Saccharomyces cerevisiae S288C: one gene and its partners. The gene in region 1 interacts genetically with each later gene. Each region holds a gene or a part of one and is shown on either strand. Other genes may lie near its edges. The genes, in order: ERF2, ZNG1, TCA17 and PLB2.

Evidence for each region.
Region 2: mutations in ERF2 (region 1) and ZNG1 together harm fitness more than expected from each alone (negative genetic interaction), as found in Saccharomyces cerevisiae (2 studies listed by BioGRID).
Region 3: mutations in ERF2 (region 1) and TCA17 together harm fitness more than expected from each alone (negative genetic interaction), as found in Saccharomyces cerevisiae (one large-scale study listed by BioGRID).
Region 4: mutations in ERF2 (region 1) and PLB2 together harm fitness less than expected from each alone (positive genetic interaction), as found in Saccharomyces cerevisiae (one large-scale study listed by BioGRID).

What each region holds. Positions count from the first base shown.
Region 1 is NC_001144.5:624,301-629,601, reverse strand, and holds ERF2 (palmitoyltransferase ERF2), read right to left. Parts: upstream 2,485-5,301; coding exon 1,405-2,484; downstream 1-1,404. Other genes in the region: E3 ubiquitin-protein ligase IRC20, read left to right, coding at 1-918; CDD1 (cytidine deaminase), read left to right, coding at 2,672-3,100; methionine aminopeptidase MAP1, read left to right, coding at 3,271-4,434; putative signal sequence-binding GTPase GPN3, read right to left, coding at 4,581-5,301. UniProt on the Saccharomyces cerevisiae protein: The ERF2-SHR5 complex is a palmitoyltransferase specific for Ras proteins. Palmitoylates RAS2, which is required for its proper plasma membrane localization.
Region 2 is NC_001146.8:676,082-680,475, forward strand, and holds ZNG1 (GTP-dependent zinc transferase), read right to left. Parts: upstream 2,408-4,394; coding exon 1,118-2,407; downstream 1-1,117. Other genes in the region: peptidylprolyl isomerase family protein CPR8, read left to right, coding at 96-1,022; ALG12 (dolichyl-P-Man:Man(7)GlcNAc(2)-PP-dolichol alpha-1,6-mannosyltransferase), read left to right, coding at 2,718-4,373. UniProt on the Saccharomyces cerevisiae protein: Zinc chaperone that directly transfers zinc cofactor to target metalloproteins, thereby activating them.
Region 3 is NC_001137.3:63,496-68,230, reverse strand, and holds TCA17 (Tca17p), read left to right. Parts: upstream 1-3,063; coding exon 3,064-3,522; downstream 3,523-4,735. Other genes in the region: threonine aldolase GLY1, read left to right, coding at 1-602; FRD1 (fumarate reductase), read left to right, coding at 1,434-2,846; seripauperin PAU2, read right to left, coding at 4,141-4,503. UniProt on the Saccharomyces cerevisiae protein: Required, together with the TRAPP II subunit TRS33, for TRAPP II complex assembly or stability, and for proper Golgi localization of TRAPP and the Rab GTPase YPT31.
Region 4 is NC_001145.3:277,061-282,950, reverse strand, and holds PLB2 (lysophospholipase), read left to right. Parts: upstream 1-3,269; coding exon 3,270-5,390; downstream 5,391-5,890. Other genes in the region: PLB1 (lysophospholipase), read left to right, coding at 367-2,361; YMR007W (uncharacterized protein), read right to left, coding at 2,611-2,991; TAF4 (Taf4p), read right to left, coding at 5,740-5,890. UniProt on the Saccharomyces cerevisiae protein: Sequentially removes both fatty acyl groups from diacylglycerophospholipids and therefore has both phospholipase A and lysophospholipase activities. However, it does not display transacylase activity.

The DNA of each region.
Region 1 (5,301 bases):
ATTAAGTGTGGACATTATTTTTGCAAGAGTTGTATCCTTACGTGGCTACGAGCCCATAGTAAATGCCCTATATGCAAAGGTTTCTGTAGTATATCGGAAGTCTATAACTTTAAGTTCAAGAACTCAACGGAGAAGAGGGAAAAAGAAATTCAAGAGCCACGAAGAGAGGGCGCCGATTCGTCTCAAGATAATTCAAATGAAAACTCGATTATATCCAATATGAGTGAAGTAGAAAAATTATTCGGAAATAAATACGAGCAATTCCATCAAATTAATGAAGTCCATCAAATTCACATAAAGGAAAGTTTTGGTGCTAAGATTGATTTCGTCATCAAGTTAATATCTTACCTGAGGCTAAAAAGTGAGCAGGAAAACGCTGATCCGCCACAAGTTATTCTATACTCTCAAAAGACAGAATATTTAAAGGTCATTGGTAAGGTATTAAAGTTGTATCACATTGAACACTTGGCATGTCTATCTAATACAGCCAATGTTGGCGAAACTATAAATAACTTCAAACGCCAGCCTTCCGTCACTTGCCTACTTTTGAATGTGAAAACTTTAGGTGCCGGCCTGAATTTGATAAATGCAAAACATATTTTCCTACTAGATCCTATCCTTAATAATAGTGATGAATTACAAGCTATGGGAAGGAATAATCGTATAGGACAAGATGAAGAAACTTTTGTGTGGAATTTCATGATCAGAAATACCGTTGAAGAAAACATCCTCAGATATAAATGTATACTCGAAGAGCGCAAAAGAAAGGAGAAGTCAAAAAAAGGCGATAAATACGACGAAGCACAAGATGAAACGGATAATGAGGAAAGCGATGATGCGAAGTTTGAGATAAGCGTGGTAGACCAAGAAGTCAGTAATGAACACTTATGGAACTGCTTTTTTCACGGTAGTGATTAGAGAAGTATGACTTTTAAACCAGACACTAATATATTAAAATATTTAATCTTTTGAATTTTTATATAAACGGTTGCCGTAATTACTATATATATATTCAATGGTAGGAAAAAAAGATGCTGCACGTTGTCTGACATCTGAAGAAGAGTGCTAATATGTAGCTTCAAAATTTTCGGAAGGCAAAAATAATGGTTGCTAAGAGATTCGAACTCTTGCATCTTACGATACCTGAGTATTCCTACAGTTAACTGCAGTCAAGATATTTTCTTGAATCAGGCGCCTTAGACCGCTCGGCCAAACAACCACTTATTTGTTGTAAAAGTTATACGAAAAGAACCTTTTAATGAATGTTTTTTTTAACATTCTAGCCAATTTCCAACGTTTATTTGCGTATACTCAACCTATACTATGGCGGAATTCACTCCTTTCAGTAACCTTTTTATATTTTACGTACTACTGTGTCGCTGAGTTCTTTATATCTATACTTCCTTATATTTTCTGTATTTTTTCAAAGCTGTGTGCTGGCGATAAATCCATAAATCTCCAATCTCCAGCTTCATGTGGCTTTCTGGCACTTACAAAGCTTGGGCCCCTTGGTTCTAACATCAAGTGACCCATATTTTTCAAAAAGGACCCCTTATTATATATGTTTTCCTCCTTGACCACACGATGGAATACAGGGTTTTTTTTCGATCCAATACCTTTCAAAAATTCCCTTGTTGTTTGCTGATTACCTGCCATAAATATGTGATAAGTAAACAGTATTGCCGGATACCATAAGGTTAGCCCTGCATAGCAAAGTAACAATATTGCAACGGGACAATCGCGAGGCCCCCCTGATTCCCGTGCAATATGGATGGCACAATTAGTTAATAATATGACGGACGAAAGTATTGCACCTAACAGGAATATTAAAAAGAACCGGTAGTTCCTTTTTCCTATGCAATTATTGACCCATATGCAATGGTGGTCATGAACCATTACGCAGACGTTACATGTGGAACAGTGAGAAGACCGAGGTGGTCTCCATATCCTACATGATGGACAATACTTGATAGTAATGTCTTTTGAAATTGAAGAATGTGTTGGTAGTGTTATCAAGTTGTAATATTCTTGCGGGATCTGATAATTATTTCTTAGTTGACTTAAATGAATATTTCTCGGAAGAACGCCAGGATCACTAGTGGCTGTTCTGATAAAGGATGCTAGCGTTATGACCCAAAAATAATAGAAGAAAATGACCAGCACTTTATAACCATTTTGGGTATGCCACAATTTGTGAGCCTCAAATATGGAGAAGAGAACCATGGGACATACAATAGCAAGGAGAACACCTAACCACAACGGTTTGGCGCCCTTTACTGTCCTGAACCTGCCACCAAGGAAGAATATATAATTCGAGACATTCGGTAACGATATATAACCTTTTCCATCGTTTATATCCTGATCACCCTCCAAGGTAACAAGCCATCGGAAGAACAACTTCGTCAATGAACCTTCTCCTGTATGCTCTTCCTTTGTTATTGAGGTGCTTTCCGATCTTGTCGACCTTCTAGAGACCAAGGCCATTATCTTCCCCGTTTCTCTTCTTGTTACCTTACGCTTTCTTTCCTTTACATTTTTATATTTGCAAACTGTAATCTTGATAAGGCGCTGCTCGCCAATTTCCGAGTAGTTTGACAAAATAAACACAAACTGTTTATGTACAAGAAACTAGGAAAACCAAACAGAGAATCTCAAGCAGAGAAATAAGGTAATGAAAGTAGGTGGCATAGAAGACAGACAACTGGAAGCCTTAAAAAGGGCGGCACTGAAGGCGTGTGAACTCTCCTATAGCCCCTATTCTCACTTCCGTGTCGGTTGTTCCATATTAACAAATAACGATGTTATCTTCACTGGTGCTAATGTCGAGAATGCAAGCTACAGTAATTGTATATGTGCAGAACGATCTGCTATGATACAAGTTCTAATGGCAGGCCATCGCTCAGGATGGAAATGCATGGTCATTTGTGGCGATTCTGAGGACCAGTGTGTTTCCCCTTGCGGCGTTTGCAGGCAGTTTATCAATGAATTTGTGGTCAAGGACTTTCCAATAGTCATGCTTAATTCCACAGGTTCTCGTTCTAAAGTCATGACAATGGGAGAACTGCTGCCCATGGCTTTTGGTCCATCTCATTTAAACTAGCAGCAATCTTTATTTGGCTGCTCCCCGAAAAGAAAGCGAAAATTTTTTACTTATTTTTTTTTTTTTTCATTTTTCATATAAAGAAGAAAAACTGATATTATTATTATTCATCCCAAGAACGCTATTGTGTATATTCCTAGCAAGAAAAAAATAAGCAAAAAAATTGTATAATGAGCACTGCAACTACAACAGTTACTACCTCCGATCAGGCTTCTCATCCTACCAAGATATATTGCTCCGGTTTGCAATGTGGTAGAGAAACTTCGTCCCAAATGAAATGCCCTGTTTGTCTAAAACAAGGCATCGTTTCCATTTTCTGCGACACAAGCTGTTATGAAAACAACTACAAAGCTCACAAAGCTTTGCACAATGCTAAGGACGGCTTGGAAGGTGCTTATGATCCTTTCCCAAAATTCAAATATTCTGGTAAAGTGAAGGCTTCATATCCACTTACCCCAAGAAGGTATGTCCCTGAAGATATTCCTAAACCGGACTGGGCCGCTAATGGGCTACCAGTCAGTGAACAAAGAAATGATAGACTTAACAACATCCCTATATACAAGAAAGATCAAATTAAGAAGATTAGAAAGGCATGTATGTTGGGTAGAGAAGTTCTTGATATTGCCGCTGCCCATGTCAGACCAGGCATCACTACAGATGAATTAGATGAAATCGTCCACAATGAAACAATTAAGAGAGGTGCCTACCCTTCCCCTCTTAATTATTACAACTTTCCTAAATCGCTTTGTACCTCTGTCAATGAAGTTATTTGTCACGGTGTGCCCGATAAAACTGTCTTGAAGGAAGGTGATATTGTCAATTTAGATGTTTCCTTATACTACCAAGGTTATCATGCAGACTTGAATGAGACATATTATGTCGGCGAAAACATTTCTAAGGAAGCTCTTAATACTACTGAGACCTCAAGAGAATGTTTGAAACTAGCCATTAAAATGTGTAAGCCAGGTACCACCTTCCAAGAGTTAGGTGATCATATTGAAAAACACGCTACCGAAAATAAGTGCAGTGTAGTAAGAACTTATTGTGGACATGGTGTTGGTGAATTTTTCCATTGTTCCCCAAATATTCCCCACTACGCCAAGAATAGAACACCTGGTGTTATGAAACCAGGTATGGTTTTCACCATCGAACCTATGATTAATGAAGGTACTTGGAAGGATATGACCTGGCCTGATGACTGGACTTCTACCACCCAAGACGGTAAACTGAGTGCTCAATTTGAACATACACTGTTGGTTACCGAACATGGTGTTGAAATCCTAACAGCCAGGAATAAGAAATCACCAGGTGGCCCAAGACAGAGAATTAAATAGATCTAGGTATTTTTATCTTATACATATAGAAACCAATAAAAAACTTGAACTTGTACTTTCCCGAGTCCGAATTGGTTATTATGAGAAGCTATTTTTTTTTTTTACCTCTTTTTATATGAATCAAGCGTACATAATTTTCTCTATAACTATTCTTCGACATCTATTTGGTCGTTAGGCTCTTTCTGTTCTTGTCCTTCTGCCCATTGTGTTATATCATCGACATACGATAATATGGTTTCTATACTGTCAGGATTATTAGATTCCAAAGGTAAAAATTGAACCATACCGAAATCATCGACGAGGTTGGCTATGCACTGGTTCAGTCTTAGAAATTTAGGGTTGGATGCTTGATTCATTCCTTCCGTTTCCATTAATAACATTGCATCGGGATTCAAAAATCTTTTCAGTTTTTTCTTATTGATGTCGCCTTTTATCAAGTCTAGTTTGCTCAACACATTGATATGGGGTAGTTCCAATAGAATCATCGCAGACATAGCAGATAGTGCACCGCTAAAAAATTTTGAGCTATCTATCACAAATGGCGCTTCCAAAAGATATGTGGCGCAAAGGTTGAAATTCAGTTGTTGAGTTAAATGGCGCACTATGTTCGGTAAGACAGGGATATGCGTGTAGAGTTCAATTTGACCGGGACAGTCAAAGATTAAATATTCATCGTTGAAATCCCCGATCTCTTCGTCAAGCCAGTCTAGATTTTTCAAAAGATATTCGAAGCAATATATTAGCGCACCATTGGGGCCCAAATCCATTTCTTCCATGACATCATCTAAGGAAATTAAATCTCTAATGTCAATAGTAAATTCATACTTGGTAGCTTCTGCGGCAGGGTCTAAATTTACAATATGAGCT
Region 2 (4,394 bases), on another chromosome or scaffold:
ATAGAATCAACTACTGCAGTAGATAAATAAAGAAGACTATTCATATTCAGTATCACAATTGAAAGATTATTACAATTTGTATACATTGGTTCCCAATGAAGAGCTTTTTTCTTTATCTTTATGTGGCATTCATGTTTAGTTGCATAACGGCTCTGCCATTACCTGTGGATAACAAAAGGGCTTCTTCAGACTCCTTAGACCTAAAGAAAAAATACGCACCAGACCCTCCTATTACACATAATGTAAACATCGGAATTGTTTTCACAGATCCTGAAAGTTCGGAAGAAGCCGGCCGTCTCATAACAATAGACTTATACGGGACTATGGTGCCCAAGACAGTAATGACTTTTTGCCAGTATGTTGATAGTGTAAAAGATCGCCTTGCTTCCCGTCACAGTTACTCGCCAGAACGCGATTTTGATAAAATTCTACCGAATGGAGCTATAGAAGGTAGCTCCGTTTCTTCCTCCTCTATTGAAGAAACGGAAATGTTGGCTCCAAAACTCCCGGAAGAAAATCATAGTTTAATTCATGATAGGCCAGGCAGAGTTTCCATGATTAAGGACGATAAGGGTCTTAAGTTTATAATTGAGACCAGTGAGACGCCACTTGAAGGTGAAAGTGTTGTGTTTGGCCAAGTTACCGCCGGGTTAAAAGATCTGATGGATAAACTAGCTAATGTGAAAACTGACGAAAATGGCAAACCAGAGCAACCAATAACAATAGGTTACATTTCATCCCAGGAACACAGGATTCAGCATGCAAAGGAAGCTCACGAAAAGTATTTACAAAGGCTTCAAGATTACCAAAACGGCGATTTGGAGAAAGGTATTACATTGAAGAATTATTTATACCAGGGTAGTCAAAGAAAGTTAGAAGACGCAAAATATAATCAGCTTCACCATCCTTTACCAAAGATTATGCTTGGTATTTCGGTATTGTTACTTTTCTACGTTTTGGCCAAGTACAGGAAAAGAATATTCAACAGATCGTCTAAAATAGTTTCTATTAGAGAGGATTAAAATGTTTCGATCCATCCGCTTAATATTCATTCATTTTGTATCACATACATACGTATAAATATACATAACTTACCTCGTCTTTATTATGCCAACCATCATTCCAGGGTTTTACGTAACAGTTCCTCTATGGATTCCTTTTCTAGGTACTTCCCAATCAGCACAATTTTACACTCTTTATTGGATCCGTCATATTTGCCTGGAAAGACATCGTAGGTGTCGCGGACGCCTTGGATTACACGAGCAATGGGGTTCTCTCCTTCAATAAGTATCAGACCTTTAGTTCTTTGTACTTCCCAATCACGGCCGTCATCTCGGCGACGCCCTCCCAGCACTGTCATGGCTCCAAAATTCTTCCACAATAAAGGTTGCAAAAATTGCTTAATAAACTTATTATTATATTCTTCCTCGTTTTTTAATGGTCTGAAAGTAAGCATTATTGTGCCCATTCGATCATCATGAATGGTACCGTTTCCGCTACCACTATCTAAGATGTCAGATATCCGTACACTGTCGTATGCATGAATATCTAGTAAATTTTGAATCGGCGTATCACTATACTTGGTGAAGAACATCGGTGCGATAGAATTTATTTCCCGTACTCTTTCTTTTAATTGTTTGACCATTTCTGGTGAATGTTCGATAGTATCGTATTTGTTCATTATAATTCGATCAGCCATGGCTAGTTGGAAGTGTGCAATAGTCAGATTCCCCTCCAAACCAACTTTGTCACCATGCCAATGGGCATCGATGGAAATATCATCTAAGCATTTTAGTATATGCTCACAATCCAAAACCGTGATGATCCCGTCAATGTAAACGCTGCTATTCAATCCTTCGTCCTGCCAGAACATTTTCGCAATGGGGGCGGGATCTGCAATACCGGAGGTCTCTAAAAGGATATAATCGATTTTACCAGGTGAACGCTCCACCATATCTTCGATGGCTTTAACACCTATATTTTTCAACGAACAACACAGACACCCGTTACCCAAATCCAACCATTCTTGGTAGCTGTTCGATCCATTTTTAATGGTCATAGCCTTTTCGATTTCACTAGAATCTCCAAATTCATTTAAAATTACGGCAATTTTTTTATCTGCACCTTTTAATGCAATTTTTTCCAGCAACGTCGATTTACCTGATCCTAGATAGCCGGTAATAATGCTCACAGGAATACGCTTTTTCTCGTGCACATCTGTTGCGCCTGCAGAAGTGTTCTCCACTTGCTTGTTTACCCTTTCAACTTTTGCATCGCTAACAATATTTCCACCATCATACGAGACATTTTCCAAAATTTCTTGTAGATTATTTTCTTCACCTGTTACGAGGCAGGGTAGTTCACCATCTTCTTCTTCATTGAACTTGATGTTTCTCAATGCAGACATTCTTCCGCTTTAAAAGTTGAAAATTCCTCAATGAAAAGGGTGTTCTTGGCTTTACAAGCGCATTAAACATTTAATATTATATAATATTTATAATATACATGTTATTCCAATAGTGAAAAAAAAAAAAAAATGAAAATGAAAATGAAAAATTCGGCCCTTAAAAATGAACAACCTTTTACCAGCCGGCATTAAATGTCGTGGCACTTCACAGTTTATAACGCAAGGAATTTACTAATAGCAAGTGAAACCATTAACGATTAGTGTTGTTAAAAGAGTTGAATAAAGCCATTAAACAACGATTCAGTTGACAATGCGTTGGTCTGTCCTTGATACAGTGCTATTGACCGTGATTTCCTTTCATCTAATCCAAGCTCCATTCACCAAGGTGGAAGAGAGTTTTAATATTCAAGCCATTCATGATATTTTAACCTACAGCGTATTTGATATCTCCCAATATGACCACTTGAAATTTCCTGGAGTAGTCCCTAGAACATTCGTTGGTGCTGTGATTATTGCAATGCTTTCGAGACCTTATCTTTACTTGAGTTCTTTGATCCAAACTTCCAGGCCTACGTCTATAGATGTTCAATTGGTCGTTAGGGGGATTGTTGGCCTCACCAATGGGCTTTCTTTTATCTATTTAAAGAATTGTTTGCAAGATATGTTTGATGAAATCACTGAAAAGAAAAAGGAAGAAAATGAAGACAAGGATATATACATTTACGATAGCGCTGGTACATGGTTTCTTTTATTTTTAATTGGCAGTTTCCACCTCATGTTCTACAGCACTAGGACTCTGCCTAATTTTGTCATGACTCTGCCTCTAACCAACGTCGCATTGGGGTGGGTTTTATTGGGTCGTTATAATGCAGCTATATTCCTATCTGCGCTCGTGGCAATTGTATTTAGACTGGAAGTGTCAGCTCTCAGTGCTGGTATTGCTCTATTTAGCGTCATCTTCAAGAAGATTTCTTTATTCGATGCTATCAAATTCGGTATCTTTGGCTTGGGACTTGGTTCCGCCATCAGTATCACCGTTGATTCATATTTCTGGCAAGAATGGTGTCTACCTGAGGTAGATGGTTTCTTGTTCAACGTGGTTGCGGGTTACGCTTCCAAGTGGGGTGTGGAGCCAGTTACTGCTTATTTCACGCATTACTTGAGAATGATGTTTATGCCACCAACTGTTTTACTATTGAATTACTTCGGCTATAAATTAGCACCTGCAAAATTAAAAATTGTCTCACTAGCATCTCTTTTCCACATTATCGTCTTATCCTTTCAACCTCACAAAGAATGGAGATTCATCATCTACGCTGTTCCATCTATCATGTTGCTAGGTGCCACAGGAGCAGCACATCTATGGGAGAATATGAAAGTAAAAAAGATTACCAATGTTTTATGTTTGGCTATATTGCCCTTATCTATAATGACCTCCTTTTTCATTTCAATGGCGTTCTTGTATATATCAAGAATGAATTATCCAGGCGGCGAGGCTTTAACTTCTTTTAATGACATGATTGTGGAAAAAAATATTACAAACGCTACAGTTCATATCAGCATACCTCCTTGCATGACAGGTGTCACTTTATTTGGTGAATTGAACTACGGTGTGTACGGCATCAATTACGATAAGACTGAAAATACGACTTTACTGCAGGAAATGTGGCCCTCCTTTGATTTCTTGATCACCCACGAGCCAACCGCCTCTCAATTGCCATTCGAGAATAAGACTACCAACCATTGGGAGCTAGTTAACACAACAAAGATGTTTACTGGATTTGACCCAACCTACATTAAGAACTTTGTTTTCCAAGAGAGAGTGAATGTTTTGTCTCTACTCAAACAGATCATTTTCGACAAGACCCCTACCGTTTTTTTGAAAGAATTGACGGCCAATTCGATTGTTAAAAGCGATGTCTTCTTCACCTATAAGAGAATCAAACAAGATGAAAAAACTGATTGATAATAGCTAACGTCAATTCCA
Region 3 (4,735 bases), on another chromosome or scaffold:
ATGCCGCTGCACAATCTGGCGTGCCATTAAAGCAATATGGGGAAATCTTCGACTCCATCTCCATCTGTCTATCCAAGTCTATGGGTGCTCCTATTGGGTCCGTCTTGGTTGGGAACCTTAAGTTTGTCAAGAAGGCCACCCATTTCAGAAAACAACAAGGTGGTGGTATTAGACAATCTGGTATGATGGCTAGAATGGCTCTTGTAAACATCAACAACGATTGGAAGTCCCAATTGCTGTACTCGCACTCTTTGGCTCATGAATTAGCCGAATATTGTGAGGCAAAGGGCATCCCGCTAGAGTCTCCAGCAGACACCAACTTTGTCTTTATTAACCTGAAGGCCGCTAGAATGGACCCAGATGTCCTTGTTAAGAAGGGTTTGAAGTACAACGTTAAGCTAATGGGTGGTAGAGTCTCGTTCCACTATCAAGTCACCAGAGATACTTTGGAAAAAGTCAAATTGGCCATCTCCGAGGCCTTCGACTATGCTAAAGAACATCCTTTCGACTGTAACGGACCTACCCAGATTTACCGTAGTGAATCCACCGAGGTCGACGTTGATGGCAACGCTATCCGCGAAATAAAAACCTACAAATACTGATGCGTTCCAGTTGCATCATGTGTATTGTTAGGGTTTTTGTTTTAGGATTGCTACCCTCTTCCTTTTTTTCATACATTACAATAATTTCGTGGCATTGTAGATTTAACGGCTTTCTTTTGCATCAATGATTTTTATATTCAAATGGGTTTTTTCTTTTTTCTGTTTTGTTATTCAAGGATATTTCAACTCTCACACCATAATTATAACTAATTATGTCGGCACATTTGAGAACCAATGGTTAGTTTCCAGCGCACCTAGCGACTAACTACCCTATTATGGAGGGACGAAGGTGGTCTTTCTGAGGGAAGGAGGAAAAAAAGGTAAGAACCTCTTTTCTTTGTTCCCCATTGAGAGATCGACTGAATATGTTTGGTTTTTTTGGTACTTGATTAAAGTTTACAACGGTACGTATCCACGTGGAGAAGCACATTTCTTTGTATTCTACGATACTACGTATTAAGATTGAATGTACCCATGTATATTCTCGCAGGGTTTCTTCACAGGATTTCGACGTACACCTTTTATACAAATATATATATATATTTATATGTATGCGTAAGAGTCTAAAAAACGTTCACTTTAATTCCTTTTTTGCTTTTACTACTATTGTCTTTCTTCTTTCATTTGTCATCATGCAGTGAATGACTGAAACAATAGAGACAGGTATGAAAAAGAAAATTTTTTTCTTTTCAAACGGTAACGGGGGCAACGCGTCGCGTTCCTGAACAGCTTAATCTATTGCACGTATAAAAGCTGAGAACAATACGCTGACATAGCACCCCATTTTTTTTTCTTATCTTCACTTCAACAACCCCTCATCCGTAATTGTAAATGTCTCTCTCTCCCGTTGTTGTTATTGGAACCGGTTTGGCCGGGCTGGCTGCTGCCAATGAATTGGTTAACAAGTATAACATCCCTGTAACCATCCTCGAAAAGGCTTCCTCGATCGGTGGGAACTCTATCAAGGCCTCCAGTGGTATTAACGGTGCTTGCACCGAGACTCAACGTCACTTCCACATCGAGGACTCCCCACGCTTATTTGAAGATGACACCATCAAGTCTGCTAAAGGTAAAGGTGTCCAAGAATTAATGGCTAAGTTGGCCAATGATTCTCCCCTGGCTATTGAATGGTTGAAAAACGAATTTGATTTGAAATTGGACCTATTGGCTCAATTGGGTGGCCACTCTGTGGCAAGAACTCACAGATCGTCTGGGAAGTTGCCTCCAGGTTTCGAAATTGTTTCTGCCTTATCTAACAATTTGAAGAAATTAGCTGAGACTAAACCAGAGTTAGTTAAGATTAACTTAGACAGTAAAGTCGTAGACATCCATGAAAAGGATGGCTCCATTTCTGCTGTAGTGTACGAGGACAAGAATGGCGAAAAGCACATGGTGAGTGCTAACGATGTCGTTTTTTGTTCTGGAGGGTTTGGCTTTTCTAAGGAAATGCTTAAAGAATACGCACCCGAACTGGTGAACTTGCCAACAACAAACGGGCAACAAACAACTGGTGATGGTCAAAGGCTTCTGCAGAAGTTAGGCGCTGATCTGATTGACATGGACCAAATTCAAGTTCATCCAACTGGGTTCATTGATCCAAATGACCGTAGCTCAAGCTGGAAATTCTTGGCTGCCGAATCCTTAAGAGGTCTTGGTGGTATCCTATTAAACCCTATTACCGGTAGAAGATTTGTCAACGAATTGACCACAAGAGATGTAGTCACTGCAGCTATTCAAAAGGTTTGTCCTCAAGAGGATAACAGAGCACTATTGGTTATGGGCGAAAAAATGTACACAGATTTGAAGAATAATTTAGATTTTTACATGTTCAAGAAACTTGTACAGAAATTGACATTATCTCAAGTTGTTTCTGAATATAATTTACCAATCACTGTCGCCCAATTATGCGAGGAATTGCAAACATACTCTTCCTTCACTACCAAGGCTGATCCGTTGGGACGTACCGTTATTCTCAACGAATTTGGCTCTGACGTTACTCCAGAAACTGTGGTTTTTATTGGTGAAGTAACACCGGTTGTCCATTTCACCATGGGTGGTGCTAGAATCAATGTCAAGGCTCAAGTCATTGGCAAGAACGACGAAAGGCTACTAAAAGGCCTGTACGCGGCCGGTGAAGTTTCTGGCGGTGTTCATGGCGCCAATAGGTTGGGTGGTTCAAGTTTGTTAGAATGCGTTGTCTTTGGGAGAACCGCAGCTGAATCTATTGCCAATGACCGCAAGTAACGAATTTTATAAATGAATCATTTCTAAACGATTTTTTAATAGTATATAAGTAGTATTAATATTATTATTATTTTTTTTTTTTTTTTTTTTTCACTTTCGAAGTTCTGCCGGAAGAGCTCATCGACGGCCAAGAAACATTTTACATAAAAGTTATTGAGTTGAAAATTGAGTAAATATTCTCTCCAAAAATCAAATTGTACGTTTATATCACCAAACTATGAGCTTGAGGCCTTGCTTCGTATCATTGATAGATGAATCTGATAAACCTATATTGATTTACGTCCCTAATGAGGCGGAGAATGAGATGAATGATGTACTCAAATATAACGTGCTTTCTAACATATCGTTAGATTATTTTGAAAGTGCTTTGGTTGAATGGCATTCTTTAGATTCCAAACCTCTTCTGAAGTCAATTTTTCAATTGGAAGGTGTCTCTGTATTTGCTATGTTGATTAAGCAGACGGGCCTGAAGATTGTCATTGGATTTGAACAAAAAAGCCTAAGTGGAGCTGATGATGAATTTGAAGCAATCAATCAGATTTTCGAAACCGTAAGAAAAATCTATATACGTGTCAAATGTAATCCTTTACTTGTTAGCGGTGACGAAAAGTCCATTATAAAAAGCTTGGAAAGAAAATTTGATGAGTTGTTTATTTCAACTGAAGTTGAATTATAAATGATAATTTATTAGTCGATTCTTTCACGAATGAAAGCAAAATTTAATGTCACTGCTTTGGAGTGAGAGCGATTCAGAGAAGTTATTAATGTCTAATATGTCCAACTTGGTGACAGTTTCGCCTTGCCTAATTAGCGGGGATCAGGTGCCGGTAGTATATCTCAGATGACCGTGACAATCAAACTTTCTACTTCATTCAAGTGACTGTCAATTGTCATGCTGTTCATGAATAAATAAGATACGGAGACAATTAAGGCGATCGCTTTGACTCTACTGCTAACGAAAATTGTCCGAATTGAACAGATGTGGAAGCAATCACTATACGTTACTTCATAATGAAGATATTTGTTGGCTTTCCGAGATATAGACTGATCTTTGTCACTTCATATCCGGCACGGCAATTTTTACATGGGATGGCTCGTCATAAAGATACTGCGACCTTTGGAAAGTCTGAAATAAGTGCTAGGTTATGGTTACAACGAGAATTGACAGATATGATGTGATTGTTCACGTATGTACGTATAAAGATATTTATACTACCAAAAAAAAAAAAAGGGTTTTTTTTTATTTCATTATCTAAGTTTCATAGCATTTCCTTCATTAAATTGGCGTTTGTCTCTAGTTTGCGATAGTGTAGATACCGTCCTTGGATAGAGCACTGGAAATGGCTGGCTTTAATCTGCTGGAGTACCATGGAACACCGGTGATCATTCTGGTCACTTGGTCTGGGGCAATACCAGTCAACATGGTGGTGAAGTCACCGTAGTTGAAAACGGCCTCAGCAACTTCAATTGGGTAGGTTTCAGTTGGGTGAGCAGCTTGGAAAGAGTAGTATTGAGCCAAATGAGCTCTGATATCAGATACGTAGACACCCAATTCAACCAAGTTGACTCTTTCGTCAGATTGAGCTAGAGTGGTGGTTGCGGAAGCAGTAGCAGCGATGGCGGCAACACCAGCGGCAATTGAAGTTAATTTGACCATTTTATTTGTTTTGTTTGTGCTGATATAAGCTTAACTAGGAAGAGAAGAGTGGAGGCATATACCAAAGAGAGGTAACCAAAGCAGTTCAATTTATATGAATTTCTCGGCCAGCTTCTCTTACATGAACGAGGGGCCACCTTTCACCTCATGAACATTATTGTTATTGCTATTGTTATTGAGATGCCTTTACTCATGAACGATCCATTTTTGGAGGTCTCGTATAAGAGGGCGC
Region 4 (5,890 bases), on another chromosome or scaffold:
GGTTTACGCCCTTATCTATAAAGGGAAATAACCTCATACAGTAACATGTCCGCTTATTCCCGCATATTTTTCTCAGTTAAGCAACATTCATTTACGTCTCCTATTTTTGCTTAGAAGATGACTTGGTTACTTTATTTTCTTCTAACTGCTTAGGTAAACTACATCATCTAATATATAAAGACGCTTCCACCACATTTAACCAACGGAAACGTCTCTTCGCTGTAAGGTTCTACATTTATTAGGTTATACTAACTAATCAATTCTTCGTTCTTTTCTTAACATTTCTCTCTTTTTTCGTTCATATAACGTAAATTACACGAAGCTATCCATCCTAAGGGCAAACGGGAAAGAAAATAAAACAAAACCATGAAGTTGCAGAGTTTGTTGGTTTCTGCTGCAGTTTTGACTTCTCTAACAGAGAACGTTAACGCTTGGTCACCAAATAACAGTTACGTCCCTGCGAACGTAACCTGTGATGATGATATTAACTTAGTCAGAGAAGCATCTGGTTTGTCAGATAACGAAACAGAATGGCTGAAAAAAAGAGATGCATACACCAAGGAGGCTTTGCATTCTTTTTTGAATAGGGCCACTTCGAATTTCAGTGACACTTCCTTGCTATCCACTCTTTTTGGTAGCAACTCTTCCAATATGCCTAAGATTGCCGTCGCCTGTTCTGGTGGTGGTTACCGTGCCATGTTGTCTGGTGCTGGTATGCTTGCTGCTATGGACAATCGTACTGATGGCGCAAATGAGCATGGTCTTGGTGGGCTGCTGCAAGGTGCAACTTACTTGGCAGGTCTGTCGGGTGGTAACTGGTTAACAAGTACTTTGGCTTGGAACAACTGGACGTCTGTGCAAGCTATCGTGGATAATACAACAGAATCTAACTCAATTTGGGACATCTCTCATTCAATTCTTACCCCAGACGGCATTAACATCTTTAAGACTGGGAGTAGATGGGACGACATATCAGATGACGTTCAGGATAAAAAAGACGCCGGTTTCAACATCTCTTTGGCGGATGTTTGGGGCCGTGCTCTTGCGTACAATTTTTGGCCAAGCTTACACCGTGGTGGTGTAGGGTACACATGGTCAACTTTAAGGGAAGCTGATGTCTTCAAGAATGGAGAAATGCCCTTCCCTATCACTGTTGCAGACGGTAGATACCCAGGTACCACCGTGATAAACTTGAATGCCACTCTTTTCGAATTTAATCCCTTTGAAATGGGTTCATGGGACCCCACTTTGAACGCATTTACGGATGTGAAGTATTTAGGTACCAACGTTACAAACGGTAAACCAGTTAATAAAGGCCAATGCATTGCCGGGTTTGATAACACTGGTTTCATAACAGCCACTTCATCTACGTTGTTTAACCAATTTTTACTAAGATTGAATTCTACCGATTTACCTTCATTTATTGCTAACTTAGCCACCGATTTCCTGGAAGATTTATCCGACAATAGTGACGATATTGCAATTTACGCCCCAAATCCATTCAAGGAAGCTAATTTTCTTCAAAAGAACGCAACCTCCAGTATTATCGAATCAGAATATCTATTTTTGGTTGATGGTGGTGAAGATAACCAAAATATTCCTTTAGTTCCATTGTTGCAAAAGGAACGTGAACTAGATGTTATTTTTGCATTAGACAATTCTGCTGATACTGACGACTATTGGCCAGATGGTGCTTCATTAGTTAACACTTATCAGCGTCAATTTGGCAGCCAAGGTCTCAATTTGTCTTTCCCATATGTTCCAGATGTGAACACATTTGTCAACTTGGGGTTGAACAAAAAGCCAACCTTTTTTGGTTGTGATGCAAGAAATTTGACAGACTTGGAGTACATTCCACCATTAATTGTTTACATTCCAAATTCAAGACATTCATTTAATGGTAACCAAAGTACTTTTAAGATGTCATACTCCGATTCAGAACGTCTTGGTATGATTAAGAATGGGTTTGAAGCTGCCACAATGGGTAATTTTACTGATGATTCTGATTTCTTGGGCTGTGTTGGTTGCGCCATTATCAGACGTAAGCAACAAAACTTGAATGCTACATTGCCCTCTGAATGCAGCCAGTGTTTTACCAACTACTGCTGGAACGGTACTATTGACAGCAGGTCAGTCTCAGGTGTAGGAAATGATGATTATTCTTCTTCTGCTTCCTTGTCTGCCTCCGCCGCTGCTGCCTCTGCCTCTGCCTCTGCCTCTGCTTCCGCCTCTGCCTCTGCTTCTGGGTCTTCCACTCATAAGAAAAATGCGGGCAATGCTTTGGTGAATTATTCTAACTTAAACACTAACACTTTTATTGGTGTCTTAAGTGTCATTAGTGCCGTCTTCGGTCTAATTTAGGCTCTTTCTTCGTTTCTATTTCTTTTCTAAAAGAATACGAGAGTGAGAAAAGCGCAAAAATATCAACATACAAATAGTTTACGAGATCTCAAGTGCATACCGCATCTTATTTTTACAAACTCGAAATCTTACGAGCATTAACATTTACATACCGGGTGTCTTCCCTACATATATCTATCTATACAGATATGTTCATGCAGTACTTTCATCGAAGATATATAGATAGGTTTAAAGTGCAGAAGGAAAAAGCTAGGATTGCAGATATGCCATCTGCAGGCCAAATTTCACTTCCACATATCTGCACTGTTCATGAAAATGATCAGTTTCTTTCTTTCTTGCAGCTTTAGATAATCTGGTTTTTCTGCTTTTACACCTTAGAGATGAATCAAAGACACTCAATTCGGTTATACGACAAAGGGCGAACACAATGATGATTCTCACGACTAAATTAAGGACATACTTTTCAATGGTGATGCCTATAGAGAATTTACCGTCGCACCCAATGCAGCCGGTCTGGCCAAACTGGGAAATAAGGTTTTTCTTGGCTCGTATACGCCTTCGAAAAGCTCCTACAAAGGGACGCGTCGCCTTTTTCAACAATTTTTTACCTTGCGGACATTTCTTCCGCATATTCTCCACCTTGGCATTGTTTACCAACAGAAGAAAGTGAAAAAAAAATCAAAAAAAAGGTAAAAAAAGGACAAAGAGTTAAATAGTCTGAGAATCTTCTTCTTTTCGTATCTCATGTGGAGTAGAATATACCTTATATATGAGCACAATTAGTTATCTTTACAAGGCGTTAGAAATGTCTTTTAGCTTGTTTTTCCTTAGTGTGCCTTCAAATCTTATCAAGGGTTAGAAGTGAGTTAAAATTCACTCGCGCTGGTAAAGTAACACTTCTTACGCAGATGCAATTACGGAACATATTACAGGCTAGCTCGCTAATTTCTGGACTTTCGCTCGCTGCAGATTCGTCGTCCACTACTGGTGATGGTTATGCTCCATCAATAATTCCTTGTCCCAGTGATGATACCTCTTTAGTTAGAAACGCGTCTGGCTTATCTACCGCTGAAACTGATTGGTTAAAGAAAAGAGATGCGTACACTAAAGAAGCTTTACATTCCTTCTTAAGCAGAGCTACTTCTAACTTCAGTGACACTTCTTTGCTATCCACTCTTTTCAGTAGTAACTCTTCCAATGTACCCAAAATTGGTATTGCATGCTCTGGTGGTGGTTATCGTGCCATGTTGGGTGGTGCTGGTATGATTGCTGCTATGGACAATCGTACTGATGGTGCTAACGAGCATGGTCTTGGTGGTTTACTACAAAGTTCCACGTATCTATCGGGTTTGTCCGGTGGTAACTGGTTGACTGGTACTTTGGCATGGAACAATTGGACCTCTGTACAGGAAATTGTAGACCATATGAGTGAGAGCGATTCCATCTGGAATATCACGAAATCCATTGTGAACCCTGGTGGCTCTAATTTGACCTACACAATTGAAAGATGGGAGTCCATTGTACAAGAAGTGCAGGCTAAGTCTGATGCAGGCTTCAATATATCTTTGTCGGATTTGTGGGCCCGTGCACTTTCTTACAACTTCTTTCCAAGCTTGCCAGATGCTGGCTCCGCTTTGACTTGGTCCTCTTTGAGAGATGTTGATGTGTTCAAAAACGGTGAAATGCCTTTACCAATTACTGTTGCAGATGGTAGATACCCAGGTACCACCGTGATAAACTTGAATGCCACTCTTTTCGAGTTCACTCCATTTGAAATGGGTTCTTGGGATCCTTCTTTGAACGCTTTTACGGATGTGAAATATCTAGGTACCAACGTTACAAATGGTAAACCGGTCAACAAGGATCAATGCGTTTCTGGTTACGATAATGCTGGATTTGTAATTGCCACATCCGCCAGTTTATTCAACGAATTTTCCCTGGAAGCTTCCACTTCGACCTATTATAAAATGATTAATAGTTTTGCCAACAAGTACGTTAACAACCTATCCCAAGATGACGATGATATTGCAATTTACGCTGCAAATCCATTCAAGGATACAGAATTTGTTGACCGCAATTACACTTCCAGTATTGTTGATGCCGATGATTTGTTTTTAGTTGATGGTGGTGAGGACGGCCAAAATTTGCCGTTGGTTCCACTAATCAAGAAGGAACGTGACTTGGATGTGGTGTTCGCATTGGATATATCCGACAATACTGATGAATCATGGCCAAGTGGTGTGTGCATGACGAACACTTATGAGCGCCAGTATTCTAAGCAAGGTAAAGGAATGGCTTTCCCATATGTTCCAGACGTTAACACCTTCCTTAACTTGGGCTTAACTAATAAGCCAACGTTTTTTGGTTGTGATGCAAAAAATTTGACGGACTTGGAGTATATTCCACCTTTAGTTGTATATATCCCAAACACAAAACATTCATTCAATGGTAACCAAAGTACTTTGAAGATGAACTACAATGTTACAGAACGTCTTGGAATGATCAGAAATGGTTTTGAAGCTGCTACAATGGGCAACTTTACGGATGACTCTAACTTTTTAGGTTGCATAGGTTGTGCCATCATTAGACGTAAGCAAGAAAGCCTAAATGCCACCTTGCCCCCTGAATGTACCAAATGTTTTGCGGATTACTGCTGGAACGGCACACTAAGTACCTCAGCTAATCCTGAACTATCGGGAAATAGTACGTATCAAAGCGGTGCTATTGCCTCTGCAATCTCTGAGGCTACTGACGGTATTCCAATAACGGCTCTCTTAGGTTCATCAACCTCCGGAAATACTACATCAAACTCAACAACCTCGACTTCATCAAATGTCACTTCTAACTCAAACTCTTCGTCAAATACAACTTTAAACTCAAATTCTTCATCCTCTTCAATTTCTTCCTCTACAGCTCGTTCTTCTTCCTCTACGGCAAACAAAGCGAATGCTGCGGCTATTTCCTATGCGAACACTAATACTCTAATGAGTTTGTTAGGTGCCATAACAGCATTATTTGGACTAATTTAGAAGCCCTTCTGAGAAACAATACATAATACATCCTTTCACCCAAAAGGATAATGACAAGTAAATGTATAAAAATGTGTATTAATATGAAAATTTTTTTCCCGATTATCACTCCTCTTTCCGCTATTTTTGGTAGAAGGATGCCTAACTTCAAGGATTGATATATCTTCCTTATTATAAAGTTAAAATGAACAAAGCAAAAAGGTTGAATGGTCCTCAATAGCTTGGCGATGACTTGACTAAGCGACACCAACCGGCCTTCTTTATGTTAGTCAATCTTGTTTTTTTTATATCCTAGTTTATTTGAAACACTATACCTTTAAATATTATAGACAGTATAAGAGATGAGCAATTAATCTCTGATCTTGGCATAACCCTTTGAAATAATAGTCTGAACGCTGTTGCGCCTATTTTCGAGAGCAAAGAGTAAATCCCTCATTACTATACCAGGCTCCTCTCTAGCTTCTCTAAACTTTAGCCCACTTTCTCCTCTAGCCGTGATG